Ovis aries: one gene and its partners. Each later gene encodes a partner of the first gene's protein in a complex. Links are inferred from orthologs where the notes say so. Each region holds a gene or a part of one and is shown in the gene's direction. Other genes may lie near its edges.

Region 1 (5,216 bases):
CAACAGCCTCGGGCCTCACACCCTGTGCCATCAGGTGTTTTAATGGTGTTTAAAAAAATAAAAGTCTCTCACTGTTTCCCCCATCTATTTGCCATGAAGTGATGGGACCGGATGCCATGATCTTCAATTTTTGAATGTTGAGTTTTAAGCCAGCCTTTTCACACTCCTCTTTCACTTTCATCAAGAGGCTCTTTAGTTGTTCTTCGCTTTCTGCCATAACGGTGGTGTCATCTGCATATCTAAGGTTATTGATATTTCTCCCAGCAATCTTGATTCTAGCTTGTGCTTCATCTAGCCCAGCACTTCGCTTGATGTACTCTGCATTTAAGTTAAATAAGCAGGGTGACAATATACAGACTTGATAGTACTCCTTTCCCAATTTGGAACCAGTCTGTTGTTCCATGTGGGGTTCTACAGTTGCTTCTTGACCTGCATACAGATTTCGCAGGAGGCGTTTTCCTTCCCAGGGATTTGGGGTGGGGAAAGCTTGGGTGGGGCGAGGGCTGGTGAGAAGCCGACTGGCCGGCCTCAGATTGCTGGGGCCTAGGACAGGACGGCGCAGGGTGTGGGGCCAGAGGCGGTTGGGGCCCTTTCCTGACGCCCCCGCCGAGACTGGAGGAGAAGAAAGAGCCCGGAGCTGCAGCGATAGAGGGCCAGAGGCTCTGTCTCCCATACAAACAGGAAGTATCCACAAAATCCCCACTCTGGTAGGAACTTGACTAGATCAGGGTTTCACAAAAGATAGTCGCTTGCATCTTCACATTTTTGTGGGGCATATCGTTTGTAAGTATTTTAAGTTGATATAAAAATATGAATATGTGTAAAAGTACACTAATCTTCATTGTACACTGGATGAATTTTCACCGTCTAAGTCTATACCTTTGTTATCTACCATCCAGATCAAAATACCAAACGTACCCAGCACCCGCCCTACACTTTCCAGCCAATAATGCTTCTCTCTCTAGGTAACCACTGTTCTTGCCTTGATTACAATCAATTTGCACATCTCTGAACTTATATCAAGTTCATATAAAGTGTGTCCATTTTTTACGTAAAGTTTTTCTCTAAGTAGATTCATTTTTATCTAAGAAACAACATAAATGAAATAATCGTTTGATGTGATAGGTGTTTCTCCCCAATATACACTAAAACGCACAACTTGCAAAATGAGCTTCTTCGTGTACCAAGAGACCACATTTTGTTTCTCAAAAGCGACCAGATGATTTTTTATGTCCTTGCAACTTGAAGATTTGCGGTGAAAAGCCCAAAGTTCACGGAATACCCTGTCACAATCCCGATGCCATCATACGCCAGCGACCCATCTAACTAAAACACTTGTTGAATACCTAGCAGCGACTCTCAAAGGCACTGCGCTCCACTCTCTGGAAAAGACCCCACTTTCTGATTTCAAGGGGAGGGAAAGAGAAGAGTAAATCATCTCAGGGTGTGTTATGGTAAGTGCTGCCGCTCAGGTGAGCACCCTGACACAGAGGAAGGGCGGTTTCCGGAGTCAGGGAGCAGAGGAGAGGGTGGGTGAGCATATCAGTCGGCACCTCCACCAGCCACCCGACTTTGATCACTTCGCCGGAGCGCAGCAGCTGCCGTCAACCTCAGCCTTCCTTAGCAACCTGAGGGGCCGCCCAGGCGCCTTCCTATTAGCCGGGAGGGGTTTGATGGGCAGCTCTGCCGCGCAACCCCGGCGCGCAGCTCCTGGCGCCGCGCTCACTCACGGCGGGCTCGGAGGCGTTACCGCCCCCTGGGTGTCCCGCCCACCTCCCTAGCGGCGCGCGGCGCATGCGCGGGCGGTTTGGGGCTGTGGGCAGGGCTAGCGCCGAGCCGGAGCAGCTGCGGAGAGGCTCCTGGGCTCCGCCGAGGTCGCCGCTCCCGCTCCTCGCTTCGGCCGCCGCAGTTTCCAAGCCGCCGCCGGGGGAGCGGCCGCTTATTGTCTTTCTCCGCGGCCAAGGTGCGGAGCTGCTCCAGCTCGGCCCGCGGGGGAGCCCCGGGCACCGCACGGTGAGAGCGCGATTGAACTCGGCGGAGTTGGGGGAAGTTTTGCGGTTAGAGGAGGGGTCGCGGCGGGGATCGCGGGCCGCTCCGGGAGGGGGCGCGGGGCTGCTGGGGTGCGGCCGGGGGCGCGCGCGGGCTGGGATGCATGGGCGCGCGGGATCGCCCCCCGGCTCCCCGCGCCTCAGCCCGGGCCCCCCATCACGCATTGTCTGCCCGGGGCCGCGGCGCGCCTCGCCGCTCCCGCAGCCCAACCCCGGGGCCGCCTCCGCTCCCGGGTTGGGGGGGCGCGGCCGGTCCCGCCCGGCTGCGATGGCCCCTTCCCGCGAGGCATCCCGGCGGGGCCCGGACCTCCGGGTCGGCTCCTCCGGGAGCGGGGGCCGCAGTCGCCCCCCGCCCCCGGGAGCTGCGGCTGCTCCGCGGGTCCCACCGGTCCGGGTGCCGGCGAACAAGTGCCGAGGACTCGAGGGAGCGGCTCTCGGGGGCTGCGGCGAGCGGTAAACACGCCGGGCCGGGCCGGCCTCGCGGGGGCGCCCTGGGCGCCTGCTCCCGGGGGCGCGGCCGGGGCGCCCGCGCGGGTCGGAGACGTGCAGCCCGGGGGGGACCCGCCTTGGGACCGTGGCCTGGGCTCCGCTCTTGTCGAGTTCAAGTGCAGCCAAACTTTGAAACCAAAGAATACTTTTTTTTTTTTGGTAAATACCACTTACTGAACCCCTTTTCCTTCCCCCCTCTTCCCCCCCCACCAAAGTCAACCAGTAGGTTAAACTTTTAAATAAATATGGGGGAAGTCCTCAAGAGTTTTTCTATCAGAAGAAAGGATAGGGTTTTGTTTTTTTTTGGTAATAGTGCTTAGAACAAAATGACTCCGTAGCATTTAGTTTTCTAGATCTTAACTGTGAACTCAGAAGTTCACAAATGTAAGTTGGATTGAGCAATACTTGGTGTTCAGTCTGAGCTTTTTAACACTCCTCAGTGAAGTTATTTTGAGAGTTTGTTGCCGCAGGCATACGGAACTAAAGTAAAAAACAGTGCCTTTTTTTCTCGTTCAGCAACCCCCTCCCCCGTTTTATTTTCATAAGTGACTTTTTCTATTTTTTTTTTTTAAATCGTTGGATCCCCCAGATCAGGATAAACGCTGGAAAAATCACTTGGAAGAATCGTTTTCAGCAAGTTTGTAAAGGAACTGTGATAAATCATTGTTACAGTCCCGTAGCCTTCCGTGGTCTCTTGGGGATTTGCAGACGGCAAGCCCTGTTGTCAAGCTTTGGGTGCTTCGTTCTGCTGAATTCAGTTCATTTGGCTTATGAAGTCAGAATGATTCTGTTTAAATCCCCACGGTGGATCCAGCATAAATGTCTGTCAAATTGCGTGGTGGAAGAAAATGACCAGAATGTGTTTCTATCCATTGTTTTGTATTCCTTTGCCGTCTGTTAAATTAACAAGTAAACTTCGAACCAAACACCGTGCGGGTCAGTTTGCCTTTGGATTGGTTTCTCCTGCTGAGTGACCGATGTGAGGTGTGCCCTGGGTTTTTCTGGTTTCTTTGGCCTCATTTTGCAACTGTGTTCACCTGCCAAAGCTAAAGAAAAATGTCCTGATGGCATAAGCTTGGATTTTTGAAGTACAGCCACAAGGTTGGTTTTAGGAGTCATAATCCTTGCCCTTTGGGTTTTCCTTCCCAAAGTTGTGCAGCTTTAGATGGCTTGTATGTAGGGGGTGGGGTGGGGGCTGGGAGGAGGGGTTGACAGAGGTTGAAAGGAGTTGTCAGGGAGGGACAAAATGTAAACAAACACTGCTTAGAACCTTAAGTGACAAGCAGATCAGTTCCTCTGCCTCTCTGATAGCATGTTATACATATCTTTTTTAAGGGTTTCTTGCACTTTATTTTTTTTAAATCTTTTTTTTAGGGTTTCTTGCACTTCATTTTTTTTTGCCTAACGACTAGTTACTGCATATGTAATATAAATGGACTCCTTTTCCAGCCTGTTGACTCCGCAGGGCTGTGATGAGTCTCAGCTGTGTGCCTCTTTGCCCAGGAGTCTTAGCACAGGTGCTCAGGAGGTATTTGTATTGGGCGAAGTGGCTTGATTGGTACTTCACCCAAACATGGGACCCAGAGAACCACTGAACCTGAGGACTCGTTCACGGTGACAGCTTACTTGCAGGCCTGTAATGCGATTTACTGTACTTCATACAAGGATGTCTGACCTTTCCTGTTAACCCGTTAATTACTTCTTGAAAAGAATCGAGGTTTAAATCGTGTGCTGTGGATTTTGTAAAGTGGTTTCTGATTGGGGAAATTTCTCCCTTTTTTGTTGAAATGGCTAAGACTGCCCGGCACATCCATTCATTCACTCCCCTGCCTGTTTATACCTCTGTTGTGACCTGGGGAGGTAGCACAGTGTAGAAGAACGCACATTCTTTGGAATTAGGTAAATTTGAATTCAAATCCCCACCCTTCCGTTGATTAGGTGGGTAGCCTTGACCTGGGTAGGCAGGTCCCTTATCCCCTCTGAGCTTCGGCTTCCTACCGTGTAAGGTATAGTAACATACTTTAGAGCCTTCTTAGAAATAAATGAAGCTGTGTGATGATCGTCATAGTATGCCTGCTATCTGGTAGCTGTAATGACAGTGATTTGGGTACTTTTTTGAATGATTTAAAGCATGTTTAAAAGTCTGATGCATCTGAGCATACTGGTTTCTCTGTTTTACATAAAGAGGGAACGCTTCTCAGGACACTCAAAACCGGTGCTGTGGGACAGCCCAGAGGGATGGGGTGGGGAGGGAGGTTGGGGGGGGGATTCAGCATGGGGGACACATGTCCACCCGTAGCTGATTCATCTTGATGTGTGGCAAAAACCACCACAATATTGTAAAGCTTTCAATTAAGATAAATTAATTTTTTTTTAAAAAGAAATGCACAGTGGCTGTTGTGAAATAATATGTGGTATTCCTACTGATAGTAATATATATAATTATTTGTTATGTTTTGATTTGTTAATTCTACAAAAGTAGTGCCCCTAGTATAACAGTTAAAAAAAAAAGAGGGAATGCTTCTGGGAATTGAGTCTTAAATGCAATTTTTTAAAAGGTGAAGTTGAGCTGAACGTTAATAGAATTAGCAGTTTTATCTTCTCAATCAGTTGTTAATCTTTGAGTGGGCCTGGCAGTGTGACTCAGTAGGACAGAACTCTGCATTTATAGTGTTTAGG
Region 2 (4,758 bases), on another chromosome or scaffold:
ACTGAAGCGACTTAGCAGCAGCAGCAGCAGCAGCTGCATAGGGCTTCCCAGGTGGCGCTAGTGGTAAAGAACCCACCTGCCAATGCGGAAGACGTAAGAACTGCAGGTTCGATTCCTGGGTTGGGAAGATCCCCTGGAGAAGGGAATGGCACCCTACTCCGGTATTCTTGCCTGGAGAATCCCATGGACAGAGGAACCTGGTGGGCTACAGTCCATGGGGTTGCACAGAGTCGGACACGACTGAAACGATAGCACATAGCGCAGCACAGACAAGGTATATGTCGGTGTCTGTAATATCAGTCTTACCCGTGTGTGGCAGTGTGATGGCATCTCTGTAAGAGTGTGTGGATATGTGTGTTCTAAGGCCTACACTAGTGACAAAGTGACAATGCCATTGTCACCCTCTAAGTGACAGTCTGATGACATCTATCTGACACCATTCCTGTTCCTCCAACTACGTTGTATTTCGTGGTGTGGGTGGTCACCGTTCATTCACTCAGACCCCTACTAGAGGAAGTGAGGTATCTTCCAATGTTTTGCTCTTAAAAAAAAAAGGCTATGAATAACCACGTATAATACATATATCAAGGGAAATTTCCTGGCAGTCTAGCGATTAGGACTCTGCACTTCCACTGCAGGGGAGGTGGGGGTGCAATTCAGTTCCTAGTCAGGGAACTAAGATCCCATATGCTGCATGGTATGGCCAAACAAGAACAAAAACAACACGTATCAAGTGCAAAGCTGTTTCTGTGGGATAAAGTACCTGAACTGAGATTGCTAAATCAAAAGGTAGATACATTTATAATTCTGACAGAAATCACCAAACTGCCTCCATTGGTTGGAAAGCAACTTGTATTCCCGTCAGCAGCGTATCTGTTCTTAAATGTGTGTTTTATTTTCGTTTATTTATTTGGCTGCATTGAGTCTTAGTTGGGGCACACAGGATCTTCATTGCATCATATGGGGTGTTTCCTTGCGGTACACAGACTCTCCAGTTGTGGTGCGCAGGCTCAGTAGTTGTAGGGACGTGGGCTTAGTTGCTCCGGAGCATGTGGGATCTTAGTCCCCTCACCAGGGATCAAACCTTCATCCACTGCAGTGGAAGGCAGGTTCTTAACTGCTGGACCACCAGGGAAGTTCCCTAAATATGTGTTGTGTGTCTGTATATAAGACTGCCCCTGGGTGGCAGCTTAACTACATCCCTGGGATTGGCTCTGTGGGGGATGGTGTCTGGATAAAAGAGTGACAGCATCCGGGTGCATGTGTGGCTGTCTGCCCATGGGTGACAGTGTGACTGTCCCCATGACCCCCTATCTTGGGAGGGAGTGATGCTTGTTGACGGCTATCTGTCCCTGGCCAGTGCCCTTACTACAGATGGCTGCATGTCTCTAGAACCAGGATGGTTGGAGACAGCCCAGGGCTCAGGCTGGCCTCACTGCCTCGTGTCTCACGCCCACAGGGAGTCCGGACCTGGGGGCAGTGGAGCTGCGCATCGAGGAGCTGCGTCACCACTTCCGAGTGGAGCACGCGGTGGCCGAGGGCGCCAAGAACGTGCTGCGCCTGCTCAGCGCCGCCAAGACTCCGGACCGCAAAGCCGTCAGCGAGGTGAGGGGCGGGGCGTCGACCCGGAGAGGTGGGGCTTCAGCAAGGGATGGGGACTCCTGTTTCAAGTCGGACCCAGATGATTTGAGGGCTGGGGCTTCCGGGGAGGAGCTCCAGGTGGGACCTCGCGGGCCTGGGGGAGGGGCGCGCCGGATCCCGTCCCCAGCCCGGCCAGGCTTCTCCCACCTCAGGCCCAGGAGAAGCTGACCGAGTCCAACCAGAAGCTGGGGCTGCTTCGGGAGGCGCTGGAGCGGCGGCTTGGGGAGCTACCCGCTGACCACCCGAAGGGGCGGCTGCTGCGCGAGGAGCTCGCCGCGGCTTCCTCCGCAGCCTTCAGCGCCCGCCTGGCCGGGCCGTTCCCCGCCACGCACTACAGCACCCTGAGCAAGCCTGCGCCACTCACAGGTAGGTCCCTACACCTCCCGTGTCCTCCCCCGCTTCCACCCAAATCAGGACCCCACCCCCCTAGCTCTAGACTCCTGCCCCTCTGAGCCCCCAGCCCCAAACCTGCAACTGGGATCTTCATTCTCCCCAGTCCTGGACTCCCATCCCACTGTCCCCTCCCTTCTCCATTCACCCCAACCCTGTAGCCCTGGGCCCCATTCCCCACGCCAGACAGACCCATGGACCCTAGACTTCCCACCCCACCTTGCCCTCCCAGAGACTCTTGCCCTTGTCTCCCCATCCTTGATCCTTGGGTGGGAAGATTCCCTGGAGATGGAAATGGCAACCCACTCTAGTATTCTTGCCTGGGAAATTCCATGGACAGAGGAGCCTGGTAGTCTGTAGTCCATGAGGTCGCAAAAGAGTCAGACACAGCTGAGTGACTAAACAACAACAGCAAGAATAGTCCCATCCTCACTTTCCCCATCCCACCGTGAAGGGGTGGCTTTCTGCTCTCTCCAGCCAGAGTCCTCGATTTCAGTCTCATAGTCCCTCACTCTCAGAATCCTCAGTCCTGAACCTCTGACCCCCCCACCCCCAGACTAGCCAGCCCCTCCCTTCTTAGATCCCTCAGCCACTACCTCCCCAGACCAGTCCTATCATAGACCCCAGCCCCAGTGTCAGATCTCAGACTAGCCTACCGAATCCTACCCTGGACCCCCCCAGTCCTACCTGGCTCACCACCGCCTGGACTTCCGGCCTGCACTCTGAACTGCTCTTCTGTCACTAAACCTCAGCATCTAGAGCCCTTCCCCAGACTGCCCCACCCCTCCCCCTTGTCCCCTGTTTCTCTCTTCTGGACACAGCCATCTCTGCAGCAGACCCCCTGCCTCACCCCGATTGTCCCTCACCAACTCCCCCTTGCACGCTGGCCACTTCTGCACATGCCCACTGCACCTGCAACCTTTGTCCTGCCCCAGATGTAACCCACCCCATGAGCCTGCCCCTCTCTCAGGGACCCTGGAGGTGCGTGTGGTGGGCTGCAGAGACCTTCCAGAGACCATCCCTTGGAACCCTTCACCTTCGGTGGGGGGGCCTGGGACCCCTGACAGCCGCACCCCCTTCCTGAGCCGCCCAGCCCGAGGTCTTTACAGCCGAACCGGAAGTCTCAGCGGCAGGAGCAGCCTCAAAGCTGAAGCCGAGAACACCAGTGAGTGGCACTGATGTCCGGGAGGGATGAGGTGGGGTAGGCTGGGGGTGGTTCCTGATTTCCCACATCGGTAACATTCTGAAAAAGTCGTTCATCACACTCATTAGGATGGATACTGTAAAATAGAACAAGATAAAGTAACAGGTGTTAGGGAGGATGTGGAGAAGCTGGAAGGCTTCTACACTGTTGGTGGGAATGTAAAATTGTGTGGCCACCGTGGAAAGCAGCATGGCAGGTCCTCACATAATGAACATAGAACTACCATAGATCTAATATTCCTACTCAAAAGAGTTGGAAGCCGGATCTCAAAGAGATTTTGGTATACACCCATGTTCATAGCAGCATTATTCACAGTGGTCAAAAGGCAGAAGCAACCCAGTGTCTGTTGATGGATGAATGGATAAACAAATTGTGGTCCATCCACACAGTGGATTCCAGAGAAGTCTATTCTGTAGAAATGGATTCTATTCTAGACAAATATATCTATAACGATGGTAAATTTTATGTTACAAGTTTTACCACAATGTGAAAAGAAGTGAATACACACGTTCAAAAGTATGAGTAAAAGAAGACTAACACTAAAGTAACTGCCTATGTTACCACTACTCAGGTCAAGAAATAGAATTCTCTGGATTTTTCAGCCTTAAAAAAGGACATTCTGAAACATGCCGCAACATGGATGAACTTGAGTACATCAGTGAGATAAACCAGCTGTAAAATGACAAGTGGGCTTCCCCGGTGGCTCAGTGGTAAAGAATCCGCCTGCCAGTGCAGGAGACCCGAGTTTGATCCCGGAGTTGGGGAGATTCCCCCGAGAAGAAAATGACAACCCACTCCAGTATCCTTGCCTGGGAAATCCCATGGACAGAGAAGCCTGGTGGGCTACAGTCCATGGGGTCACAAAAGAGTCGGATATGACTTAGCAGCTGAGCATGAGGGATACTTCTTGTCTTTTTGTTGTTGTTTAGTCCCTAAGTTGTGTCCGACTCTTTTGCAACCCCATAAACTGTAACCTGCCAGACTCCTCTGTCCGTGGGATTTCCCAGGCAAGAAAGCTGGAGCAAGTTGCCATTTCCTTCTCCGAGGGATCTTCCCAACCCAGGGAGTGAATCCCTGTGTTCAACCCATGTGCCTGCGCCTTCTGCATTGGCAGGCAGATTCTTCACCACTGAGCCACCTGGGAAGCCGACAAGTAGTGTAGGATTCTACTTACATGAAGTATCTACGTTGGTTACATTCATAGGGATGGAAAGAATAGTGGTTGCCAGTGGTTGAGGGGGAGGCGAAATGGAGAGTTATTGTTTACCAGGGACAGAGTTTCATGGGAAAGACGAAGAGTTCTGGAGATAACGGTGGTGATGATTGCACAACAGTATAAACGTACTTGGTACCACTGAGCTGTATGCTTGATAATGATGGTAAATTTCATGTGAGTTTTACCACAATGTGAAAAGAAACGAATGCACACGTGTAAAAGTATGAATAAAAGAAGAATGACAGTAGAGTAACCGCCTGTGTTACCACCACCCAGGTCGAGAGATAGAATTCTCTGGAAGCCCTCT
Region 3 (4,758 bases), on another chromosome or scaffold:
TCAGATGACCGTGGAGTGACTATTTCAGGATGACCGGCGGGGCTTGGACCCTCTAGCCTGGGCTGGACATGTCCTGTGGGTGCCCGGAGGCCTTGGGGTCCCATCCTGGCACTGACCACAGTGGCCCTTGGCATCTGTGTCAGTGCCGGGCCCTTGGGGCCTGTCCCTCTCTGTCCCTGGGGATGTTGGTTGACCAGTGATTGACTGCACGCTCCCTTCTCTCCCTTTTAGGAAAGTCCAGGAGGAAAAAGGATTTACGAATCTCCTGCATGTCCAAGCCGCCGGCGCCCAGCCCCACGTGAGTTGGCCTCTGGTGCTTCCTGGAAGGCCTCCTGCAGGGGCCACTGTGGGGGCCAGGCCGCCTGTGCGGGCGGCATCTTCTCCAAGCAGCTGCGGGGGCTGTGTGCCTCACATGTCCTCTCGGAGCTCTCCTTGCCTTTCTGAGGGCATGTCCATGTGACAGGCCATGTGCTGCCCCGCAGATGCTTGGTGACTGTGGGGGAGGGCGGGGACCCCCTTGAGAGGGCAGAGCTCTCTGGGGCTCACACCTCCGCTCTCCCCTGCAGGCTCCCCCGGAACCTGGACTCCCGGGCTTTCATCACCATTGGAGACAGGGTAGGTGTCAATAGACCCTGGGAGGTGTCTGTGGGTGGAGACAGAGCTGGGCTGTGGAGGGGGGCTGGCTCCCCGACGCTGACCAGGTGGCCCATCTGGTGGCTACCTCCTGGGCCCTGGGGAGCTAGAGTCACGGTGCTCAGTGTGCAGATCCCTGGCTCTGCCCAAAGGGCCTGCATTTCACTGGCACCTCCCGACGCCAGTGGTTCCCCTGGGAGGCCGTGTGCTGCCCACAGGACATGCTGACGAGTCTTGTTCATCTGCCTGCTTGCTTCCTCTGGCAGCAGGTCAAGAGGGAGGGTGGGCGACCAGGGCCCCGCTGCTCCCTGGGAGACAAGGCCTTTCTTTTGTCCTGTCTGTGTCCTCAGAGCCTGAAACAGGGACTTACACACTGTAGGTGATGAATAAGTGAGTCTGGCCACCTAAGAGGGTGGGGCGAGAGGAAAAGGGCATCTCTTTAGGGCCCAGCACCGCTGAGAGTGTTTCCCAGGCTGATGTGCTGACACCCTGTAGTAGCCTTCTGATGTGGGTGCTGTGCCTGTTTTAGAGAAGGTGAGGGGAGGCTCAGAGAGGTTACATGACTTACCCCAGGACACACAGCAGAAGTGGCTGGTGCAAGACTTGAGCACAGGTGACTGGCTGGTGATTCTCTTTCTGCTGCCCCAGCATCTCCACTGGTGCCTGACTTGGCCCTTCTGAACCCTCTCTCCTTTCTGTCCCCTAAGAACTTTGAGGTGGAGGCGGATGACCTGGTGACCATTTCAGAGCTGGGCCGAGGTGCCTATGGGGTGGTGGAGAAGGTGCGGCATGCCCAGAGTGGCACCATCATGGCCGTGAAGGTGAGCAGTGTCCCCGACCCAGGGCCATCAGAGCCGGGGGCACCTGGGGCTGCACCCCTGCGGCCCGGGCTCTAACCGCAGCCCCTCCCCCCGCAGCGCATCCGAGCCACCGTGAACTCTCAGGAGCAGAAGCGCCTGCTCATGGACCTGGATGTCAACATGCGCACAGTGGACTGTTTCTATACCGTCACCTTCTACGGGGCCCTCTTTAGAGAGGTGAGGAGACACAGCCAGCCTCCCCTCTGGCAGGGAGCCCAGGAGCTCGGGCTTACCCCAGGGGATGCTGCACCCAGCCTTCTCAGAAGGCTGTCCTGGATGGGGTGTGGGGGTGGGGACAGTATGTTGCCGGTGAAGGGACCCATCGGCCAGGGTCAGAGCTGGGATGAGCCGTGGAAGTAGGAGTCTGATGGGGGACAGCCAGTGTGACAGTCGGGGAAGGCTGCCGCGTGGACCCAGCAGTGTAGGCGAGCCTTGTCGGGGAGGGGCTGGGAGGTCAGAGAACCCCTGAGGGCTGAGGGGTGGAGGTGTGTCAGGGGCTGGCTGGCTCCATGGGGAGGATGCTGGGCCAGGTAGCCCTGGGCAGATGTGGCTGAACTATGGCTATCTACCTGCAGGGAGATGTGTGGATCTGCATGGAGCTCATGGACACGTCCCTGGACAAGTTCTATCGGAAGGTGCTAGACAAGGGCATGACGATTCCAGAAGACATTCTTGGGGAGATCGCTGTGTCTGTAAGTGGGGTTGGGGGGGTCCCAATGGTAGTGTTTTGGGCAGAGCTGGGCCCCCCGTGTGGCCTCCAGCTGTGGCCCTGCAGCTGGGCAGTTGCCCTTGGAAGCCCCAGGTGCCCCCACCCTGGACCAGAGCCTGCTCAGGAGACCCCAGGGCCCTGGAGCCACACCGATTTGGCAGAACCAGGATCTCTGGGCCTTCCTGTGCAGTTCCTGAGTTTTGAGGCCACAGAAGAGAACTTAGTGTTCACAGCTTCCTTATCCTGAAGATGCTTGGAGGCAGCTCGCAGAGGCATGTGGTCAGGGGAGAAAACCACGGGTCTTGAGCTTGCATGTCCTAGGGCAGGCGGCTCCCTGGGCATGAGCACCCAACAGCCAAAGCAGAAGGGGAATGGGGTCTGTGTACCTGTGGTCCTCATCCCTGACCGCAGCTGTGAACATGTAAACATACCCCCCCCGCCCAGGGCGTTGAGTCAGGATCTTTGGGGTGATTCCTGTGGGGAGTGGCTCTGAGCATGTAGCCCAGTGACTGCTGGTAGGGGAGGGGGCGGTGGATGCAAGCCCGCTGCAGAAGGGCCAGATTCTACCCAGGAGTCTGGTGGAGGGAGGGACAGCATTCTGGGGGTTCATAAGTCAGACTCGCCAGGGTCTTGGTCACATCACCTGAGACCCTGGCCCATTCAGAGCAGTGCAGGAACCAGGTGTATCAGTATCAGGGTGGCCAGGACATTACAGCAAAGGCTGGGATGTGGGCGGGAGCCTCAGGTGGTGAGGGGCTGGGTGTGACCTGGGAGAGGGCGACAGACCGCCCTGGCTGGGGAGCCTTCTGGCTCTGTCACTGTTGATGGACCTGTCTCTCTCCACCTCTCATCCCAAACACCAGATCGTGAGGGCCCTGGAACATCTGCACAGCAAGCTGTCCGTGATCCATAGAGGTCAGTGCCTGGACTGGCTGGGGAGGAGGGGCCTGGCCTCACGTACACGTCCCCATGGTCCTGCCGGGACCAGTGCCAAGGCTCTGGGAGGCGACAGGCCGCAATGTGCCCGCTGGGTCCAGGCCGCTGTCCACTCCTCTCAGCCATTTCTGTCAGCCCCCAGGCCCAGTCCCAGTTTTGTTCCCTGGTGCTCAGAGCACGGACAGGGTTGATCTTCATCCTGGGAAGGCCAGCCCATCTTGTCTTGACGTATTGTTTACGTGTTGAGGAGTGTGCAGGTGGGATGTGTACTGCTGCACGAATCCGATCATCGTTTATACTGGGTCACGCCCACCCTCCCCTCCCTTTCTTGCCCTGTGACGCCCCAGTCCCCGACTCCACTGATTTTCTCATGGGGGTTGGTTTTGCTTGTTCTCAGCCTCCCAGTTGGGCCAATGATTCTGAGACTCAGTGGGGCTGTGTGTGTCCTGCCTGTCCCCTCCCTCTGTGTTCTGAGGGGTCTGCTTTTCCACACAGAGTTCACTGGGCTAAGCCCCTTTGACCACTGAGTGGTCCCCAGGTCACTGCTATTGGCAGGTTTTCGTGGCCCCTTTGGGCGTCTCTCTGAGCCCCTGCAGATGTCCTTGTAAAAGGCAGGAGGGATGCACATGTCTCCCGTGCGTGTGCTTGCTGGACGGCCCCGCTGTGCCCCCTAGCTCACTCTGTGCCCACTCCATGTCCAGCTTGAGTCCTGGGGCTCTGGGATTTCCCACAGACCTGCCTCCCGTGTTTGAGCTGTTGCCTTGTGCTTCCTGGCCAAGACTGCCGACCCCTCAAGGTGGATATTGGGTGGTTTACAGTGCTCATACTGTTAGTGATGGGTTCCCTGCATTTGGGTGGACCCCAGAGCCAGAGGTTGCACTGGTAAGTGGAGGCTGAGTCCCAACTGTGAAGCTGCAAAGACACGGTCCTGGGGGAAGCCCTGGAGCTAACTTCTCTCCCCACCTGTGGCTGGAGGCTGGGGCTCCTGACTGTGTGGCTACCAGCTCTGACCTGGGCAGTGGGGGCCAACAACCAGTAGCTGAAAGGCGTGTCCTACTTCTGGCAGATGTGAAGCCATCCAATGTCCTTATCAACAAGGAGGGCCACGTGAAGATGTGTGACTTTGGGATCAGTGGTTACTTGGTGGATTCTGTGGCTAAGACAATGGATGCTGGCTGCAAACCCTACATGGCCGTAAGTGGGGTGCCCAGGTCATGCCCAGAGGAAACAGCCAGGCTCAGGCACCTTAGCTGTGTCCTGCTCCATCAGGAATGAGGCCTCCCCAGACCCCGAATTTCCTTCTAGAGGGAGTCTCCTGCTCAGCCCTCTCCACCCCTTTCTGACTGGCCCCACCGTGTCCATTTGGATGATAGGTTTCACCTCAGCGGGGTGGCTGGTGGGGCCTGTGGGAGTTGCTGATACCCCAAGGTGAGACCCCCAGGTGTGGCAGCTGTGTGGCAAGACTTAGGCTTCCACCTCGAGACCCCGGCCCTCACCAGCCTCAGCTTCCACACTTGCTCTGGGGGAGGTAGGATGGGTGAGCACTGGCCCCTACGTTTTGTGGGGGGCAACCAGACCCAGCTGAGGGGGCCTGGGTGACCCTGCTCTGGCTCCTCTTCC
Region 4 (4,758 bases), on another chromosome or scaffold:
TAAAATTGTTGACTCCGTCTCGGGCAGGGCCACTGAGGCCAACACCAGAGGCACCATTCTGTACTGAGGACTCTCTTCTGCCTCCACCACCTGCCACCCTCAGCTCAGGAAGCCAAGAGCGGCTGTGGCCAGAGCTGGGCTGGTGCAACCTCCAGGGAGGGCTGTAGGGTAACAAAAGGTACTGCTCCCAGAACTTGAGAGGTCTGTGTTTTGGGTTAGTATAGCATCTCAGTTGAGAGCAGGGCCCTGGAGCCAGACTGACCAAGGTTTGGATCCAGCATCCCTGAGACCTGAATCCTCACAGTGACTTCTGTTTTCTGTGTCTCTGTTTTCCCTTCTATGAAATGGAGAAAGTAATTACAGCTCATAGCTCATAGGTAGTTGTGATGATTAGAAAGTGAAAGTTGCTCAGTCATGTCCAGCTCTTTCTGATGCCATGGACTGTAGTTCATGAAATCCTCCAGGCCAGAATACTGGAGTGGGTAGCCTTTCCTTTCTCTAGATGATCTTCCCAACCCAGGGATCGAACCAGGGTCTCCTGCATTGCAGGCGAATTCTTTACCAGCTGAGCTACCAGGGAATCCCAAGAATACTGGAGTGGGTAGCCTATCCCTTCTCCAGGGGATCTTCCTGACCCAGGAACTGAACCAGAGTCTCCTGCATTGTAGGCAGATTCTTTACCAGCTGAGCTGCCGCGGAAGCCCTGTGACGATTAAACAAGTTAATATACATAGAAAGCTGGCATAGTATCCCAGGTTCTTTCCATAGTGGACTTAGTGCCCTAGAGATGGTGGATAAATCACATAAGTTCTCAGCGTGTTGATCCTGTTTGTCCAGTCCTCCAAGGAAGGATTTGCTGGGGGAAATCCCTATGGGGGGAAATTGGGAAAGGGAGCTGGAGGGGGAGGCTGGGAGAGCCGCAGGTCTGACCGTGAGGGAGAGAGAGAGGGAAGGAAGGTTGTCAGGAGGAAGCATCTTGGACCCCAGTGCAGTTTGGAGAGAAGACAGAGGCTGCTGGGGAGTCCTCCAGCCAGTGTGCCTGACAGAGGAGGCTCAGGTCTCCCAGTCCTGGGCTGGGAGCAGCCCGTGGGAAGCAGGCCTTGGGGCAGAGGGAGCACTGGACTTGCCAGCACAGCAGCTGGGGCCCTTGGTCACCCAGGAAGGTCAGAGGTCTGTCAGCTTAAAGTGAATGAAATTTCTTTGAAAGATGAAACTGGCAGTATTATTCCAGGAAGCCTGGAGCTGTGGGTGAGAGTTCCGGGGACCTCCCTGAAACTCTCTGAGGTGCCCGAATTTTGCCGAAACCCCCTCCTCCGCCCTTGCCTGAAGGCTTAGCAGGATCCCTTTCTTTCTTTCAGCCACCAGAGCGCCACCCCCCAGGCACTTTCAAAACAGGTAGATGCCACCTGCAGCCACCGTGGATGGGGCAGGCTGCGGGAGGAAAGCAGGGTCCAGCGCCCGCCCGCAGTCAGAGGAGAGGGTGGAGGAGTGAGTCACTCTCCCTCCCTGGGGAAGCCACCTCCCTGGACTGTCGTGGTTCCTGCTCCTACCTGTCACAGCGCTTTGCAGAACAGGCCCTTGCATGCCTCTCCCCTTGCTGGTGGAAAATGAAGTCGCAGGAGCATTCAGTGAGCCCCCGAGCTGCAGCAGCACACGCCGCGTCTCCAGCTGGAGCTGGAGGACTGGTCCCTGTTTCTCTGCCTGGGCCACACTCCCTGTGCACCCCCCTCCCCAGGCCCGGGTCTTGGGGCCCAGTAAGGGTCCTCCTGCCCCGCTCTCTGTCTCAGTCTCTCTTCTGTCTTCCCTTCCAGGCTAGGAAACAACCACATCACAGCCGCGGGAGCCGAGGTGCTCGCCCAGGGTCTCAGAACTAACAACTCCTTGCAGTTTTTGGGGTAGGTGGGATTCTAGGGTAGAGGGGCAGCACGCAGGGGTTGAGGGCTTGTGAGGATTTAGGAGCCTGTGAAACCAACTCTTCAGCCCCAAGATCTCCGAGACAACCCCCACCCCCTCACCCCCCCTCCCGCCTCCACCCCCCCTCCTGCCTCCACCCCCAACTCTCGCCTCCACCCCCTGCCCAGGCTGCAATGGGGAGGGAGAGCGTGGGCAGCCCTTGTTGCCTCTGCCTTGCTTTTTGCTCAATAAACAGGAAGCTCAGGATGTCAGGGTTGGGGGAGGGCAGAGCCCAGAGCAGTGGCAGGAAGCCCTCTGGTCCTCCAGAGCGCTGGAGCTGTGTTTCTTACCTTGGTCTATATGTGGGAACCACTGGGCTCCTGAAGAAGGCCACTATCTGCCCCAGGCTAATTAAATGAATTATCTACATGCAAGGTCTGGAATCAGTAATGTAAAAAAGCTTACCAGATGATGTGCAGCCTGGGGTGAGAGCCAAGGAGAGAAGGAAGTGGGGAAGTTTGGACCCTGGACCTTGGATGGGAGGAGGCTGCACCAGGTCCTACAGAGCCCTGGCTTCCTGTGGGGTCATGCCAGGCAGGGGAGAGGGGTCGGACACAGGCGGGAAGGGCAGTCCACAGACCTCCGGGCCCCAAGTGGGGCTTTCTCTGTTTGCTGGGCAGACAGGCTTGTACCTGTCCAGTCCCCTGGAGCTTCTTTCCTGTTCCATCTTGCCCTGGTGTAAACTAGGGTCTATTTGAAAACAAAACAAAACAAAAAAAAAAAAGGGGGGGATTTTAGAACCCAAGACTGTAGGAAGAATGACTTTAGAGCCTAGGTGTTCCAACTCATTTTACAGACAGGCAAGTTGCCCGTGGGCTGTGTTTGAGCCCCGAGTGGGACTGTGTTGCTGGAGAGATAAGACCTTGTCCAAAATGCATTAGTAGCATCACAGAGTCTAGGAGAGGGTGGCCGCGGCCCCCACTGAGCTCCTTCCTTCTTGAGATCACATCTGGGGTGTTTAGCTTTCAACACCTGTTTATGAAGGTACCTGTCTGGTCTTGGTCTTGTGCTAAAACCCTCAAGCACTATCACGTGATACAAACTGTTATGTAACTTGCTTTTTTCTTAACACTGTATTATTATACTGTATTATAACACTGTATTATTTTGTTCATATCACATGACCTCACTTTTAAAAAGAATAGCTGCTCAGTATTCCAGTGGTTTGATGTCGTGATGTGTTTAGTTGGTGTCATGCACACTTTAGGTTGTGGGCAGGTTTTTGCTATTACAGTGTCACACCCTGGAGTGTAGAGTGGTGCTGGCATGGGGCCAGAGCTCAGTAAGTGTTCACCTTATGAGTGAAAGTGCAGTGAGCATCCCAGTCCTCTCTGCCCATGTGGGCACCTCCGGGTCCATCCTCACTTCCCACATGGGAAATGGCCAGGTGCCAAAGTATGAGCTGGGCTCCATCTTTGAAGGGGGTGTTTCCCAATTAGGGTGGGTCTGAGGAGGAGAAGCCAGAAGGTGAAGGAGCTTGAGGCTCCAAAGGAACTGGAGGCTCTGAAGGAACTGGGGATATAACAGAGGAGCAAGAGATGAAGAACTAGTGTTTGGAAGAAGAGTTCGCCTTCTTCTGGGTGGTCCTAGAGATAGCGAGGGACTCCTGGGTGGCAGTGAGCACAAGCAGGTCTAACCCAATGTCGGAAAATGTCACAACTGTGACTTGGCATTGAGAATGAGTCCCCATCCCTGAGAATATGCACTGGGTGGGCCTCTAACTATTTTGAAAGTCTGATTTAAAGAAACCAAAAAGTCTAATTGAAGTTTTTCCATCCCTCCAAAAAGATGGAGGCAGGCTCACTTTGCTGGGACCTGAGTCCCCCTGAGACCTTTCTGGGACTGGGGAGTCCTGCTCCTCTGCCTGGGGCTGCAGAGAGGAGGGGCACGTGTCTTGAACACAAAGCAGGTTCTCACTGACACTGTTTATTCTGTTGAACCTTTCAGGTTCTGGGGCAACCAGGTGGGTGACGAGGGGGCCCAGGCCTTGGCTGCAGCTTTGGGTGATCACCAGAGCTTGAGGTGGCTCAGGTAAGCCTCAGAGTTCGTCCTGCAGTTGGTGGGGGAAGCCAGTGTGAGGAGGGAGGAGCTTGGGCCAGTTTTGAAGGTCTGTGAACTTTATTTTCACCCCACTGTGTTAGATAACGGGATGAGAAGGAAAGAGCACTGGAGTTGAAGTCAGGACACCGGAGTCTTGCTGGGTGACGTTGGATCCCTTTTCCTCTCAGGAGTCTTGATTCCCTGTCTGTACTCAGAAGATCTTGGGCTGGATCAGATAGTTTAGTCGCTCAGTCGTCTCTGACTCTTTGAGATCCCATAGACTGTAGCCCGCCAGGCTCCTCTGACCATGGGGTTCTCCAGGCAAGAACACTGGAATGGGTTGCCATTTCCTCCTCCAGGGGATCTTCCCAACCCAGGGACTGAACCTGGGTCTTCCACATCTTCTGTGTCTCCTGCATTGCAGGCGGATTCTTTATCCACTGAGCCACTGGGGAAGCTCTGGACCAGATACACTTTTTAAAAATCATTGTTTCCTTTAGGCTGTCCTGCGTCTTTGTTGCTTTTCTCTAGTTGTAAAGAGCGGGGGGCTGCTCTCTGGTTGCAGTGCAGGGTTGCTTTCCTCTAGTTGTAAAGGGCGGGGGCTGCTCTCTGGTTGCAGTGTGGGGGCTTCTCTTGTCGTGGAGCACGGGCTCTAGGGCACGCGGGCTCAGTGGTTGCTGCACGTGGGCTCTAGAGCACAGCCTCAATAGTGTCATAAGGGCATATGGGATCTTCCTAGACCAGGCATTGGACCCGTGTCTCCTG

The links.
Region 2: AKAP13 (region 1) and PKN1 share a complex: the UniProt entries of both Homo sapiens proteins name them as parts of the signaling complex. The link is inferred for Ovis aries from reciprocal best matches to the Homo sapiens genes AKAP13 and PKN1.
Region 3: AKAP13 (region 1) and MAP2K3 share a complex: the UniProt entries of both Homo sapiens proteins name them as parts of the signaling complex. The link is inferred for Ovis aries from reciprocal best matches to the Homo sapiens genes AKAP13 and MAP2K3.
Region 4: AKAP13 (region 1) and NOD2 share a complex: the UniProt entries of both Homo sapiens proteins name them as parts of the signaling complex. The link is inferred for Ovis aries from reciprocal best matches to the Homo sapiens genes AKAP13 and NOD2.

Annotation. Positions count from the first base shown.
Region 1 is NC_056071.1:15,616,846-15,622,061, forward strand, and holds the start of AKAP13 (A-kinase anchor protein 13), read left to right. Parts: upstream 1-1,821; 5' UTR 1,822-2,013; intron 2,014-5,216. UniProt on the Homo sapiens protein: Scaffold protein that plays an important role in assembling signaling complexes downstream of several types of G protein-coupled receptors.
Region 2 is NC_056058.1:9,635,371-9,640,128, reverse strand, and holds part of PKN1 (serine/threonine-protein kinase N1), read left to right. Parts: intron 1-1,459; coding exon 1,460-1,605; intron 1,606-1,793; coding exon 1,794-2,007; intron 2,008-3,001; coding exon 3,002-3,196; intron 3,197-4,758. UniProt on the Homo sapiens protein: PKC-related serine/threonine-protein kinase involved in various processes such as regulation of the intermediate filaments of the actin cytoskeleton, cell migration, tumor cell invasion and transcription regulation.
Region 3 is NC_056064.1:35,006,297-35,011,054, forward strand, and holds part of MAP2K3 (dual specificity mitogen-activated protein kinase kinase 3), read left to right. Parts: intron 1-231; coding exon 232-298; intron 299-566; coding exon 567-615; intron 616-1,340; coding exon 1,341-1,454; intron 1,455-1,550; coding exon 1,551-1,670; intron 1,671-2,068; coding exon 2,069-2,185; intron 2,186-3,065; coding exon 3,066-3,117; intron 3,118-4,204; coding exon 4,205-4,332; intron 4,333-4,758. UniProt on the Homo sapiens protein: Dual specificity kinase. Is activated by cytokines and environmental stress in vivo. Catalyzes the concomitant phosphorylation of a threonine and a tyrosine residue in the MAP kinase p38.
Region 4 is NC_056067.1:18,634,929-18,639,686, forward strand, and holds part of NOD2 (nucleotide-binding oligomerization domain-containing protein 2), read left to right. Parts: intron 1-1,811; coding exon 1,812-1,895; intron 1,896-3,900; coding exon 3,901-3,984; intron 3,985-4,758. UniProt on the Homo sapiens protein: Pattern recognition receptor (PRR) that detects bacterial peptidoglycan fragments and other danger signals and plays an important role in gastrointestinal immunity.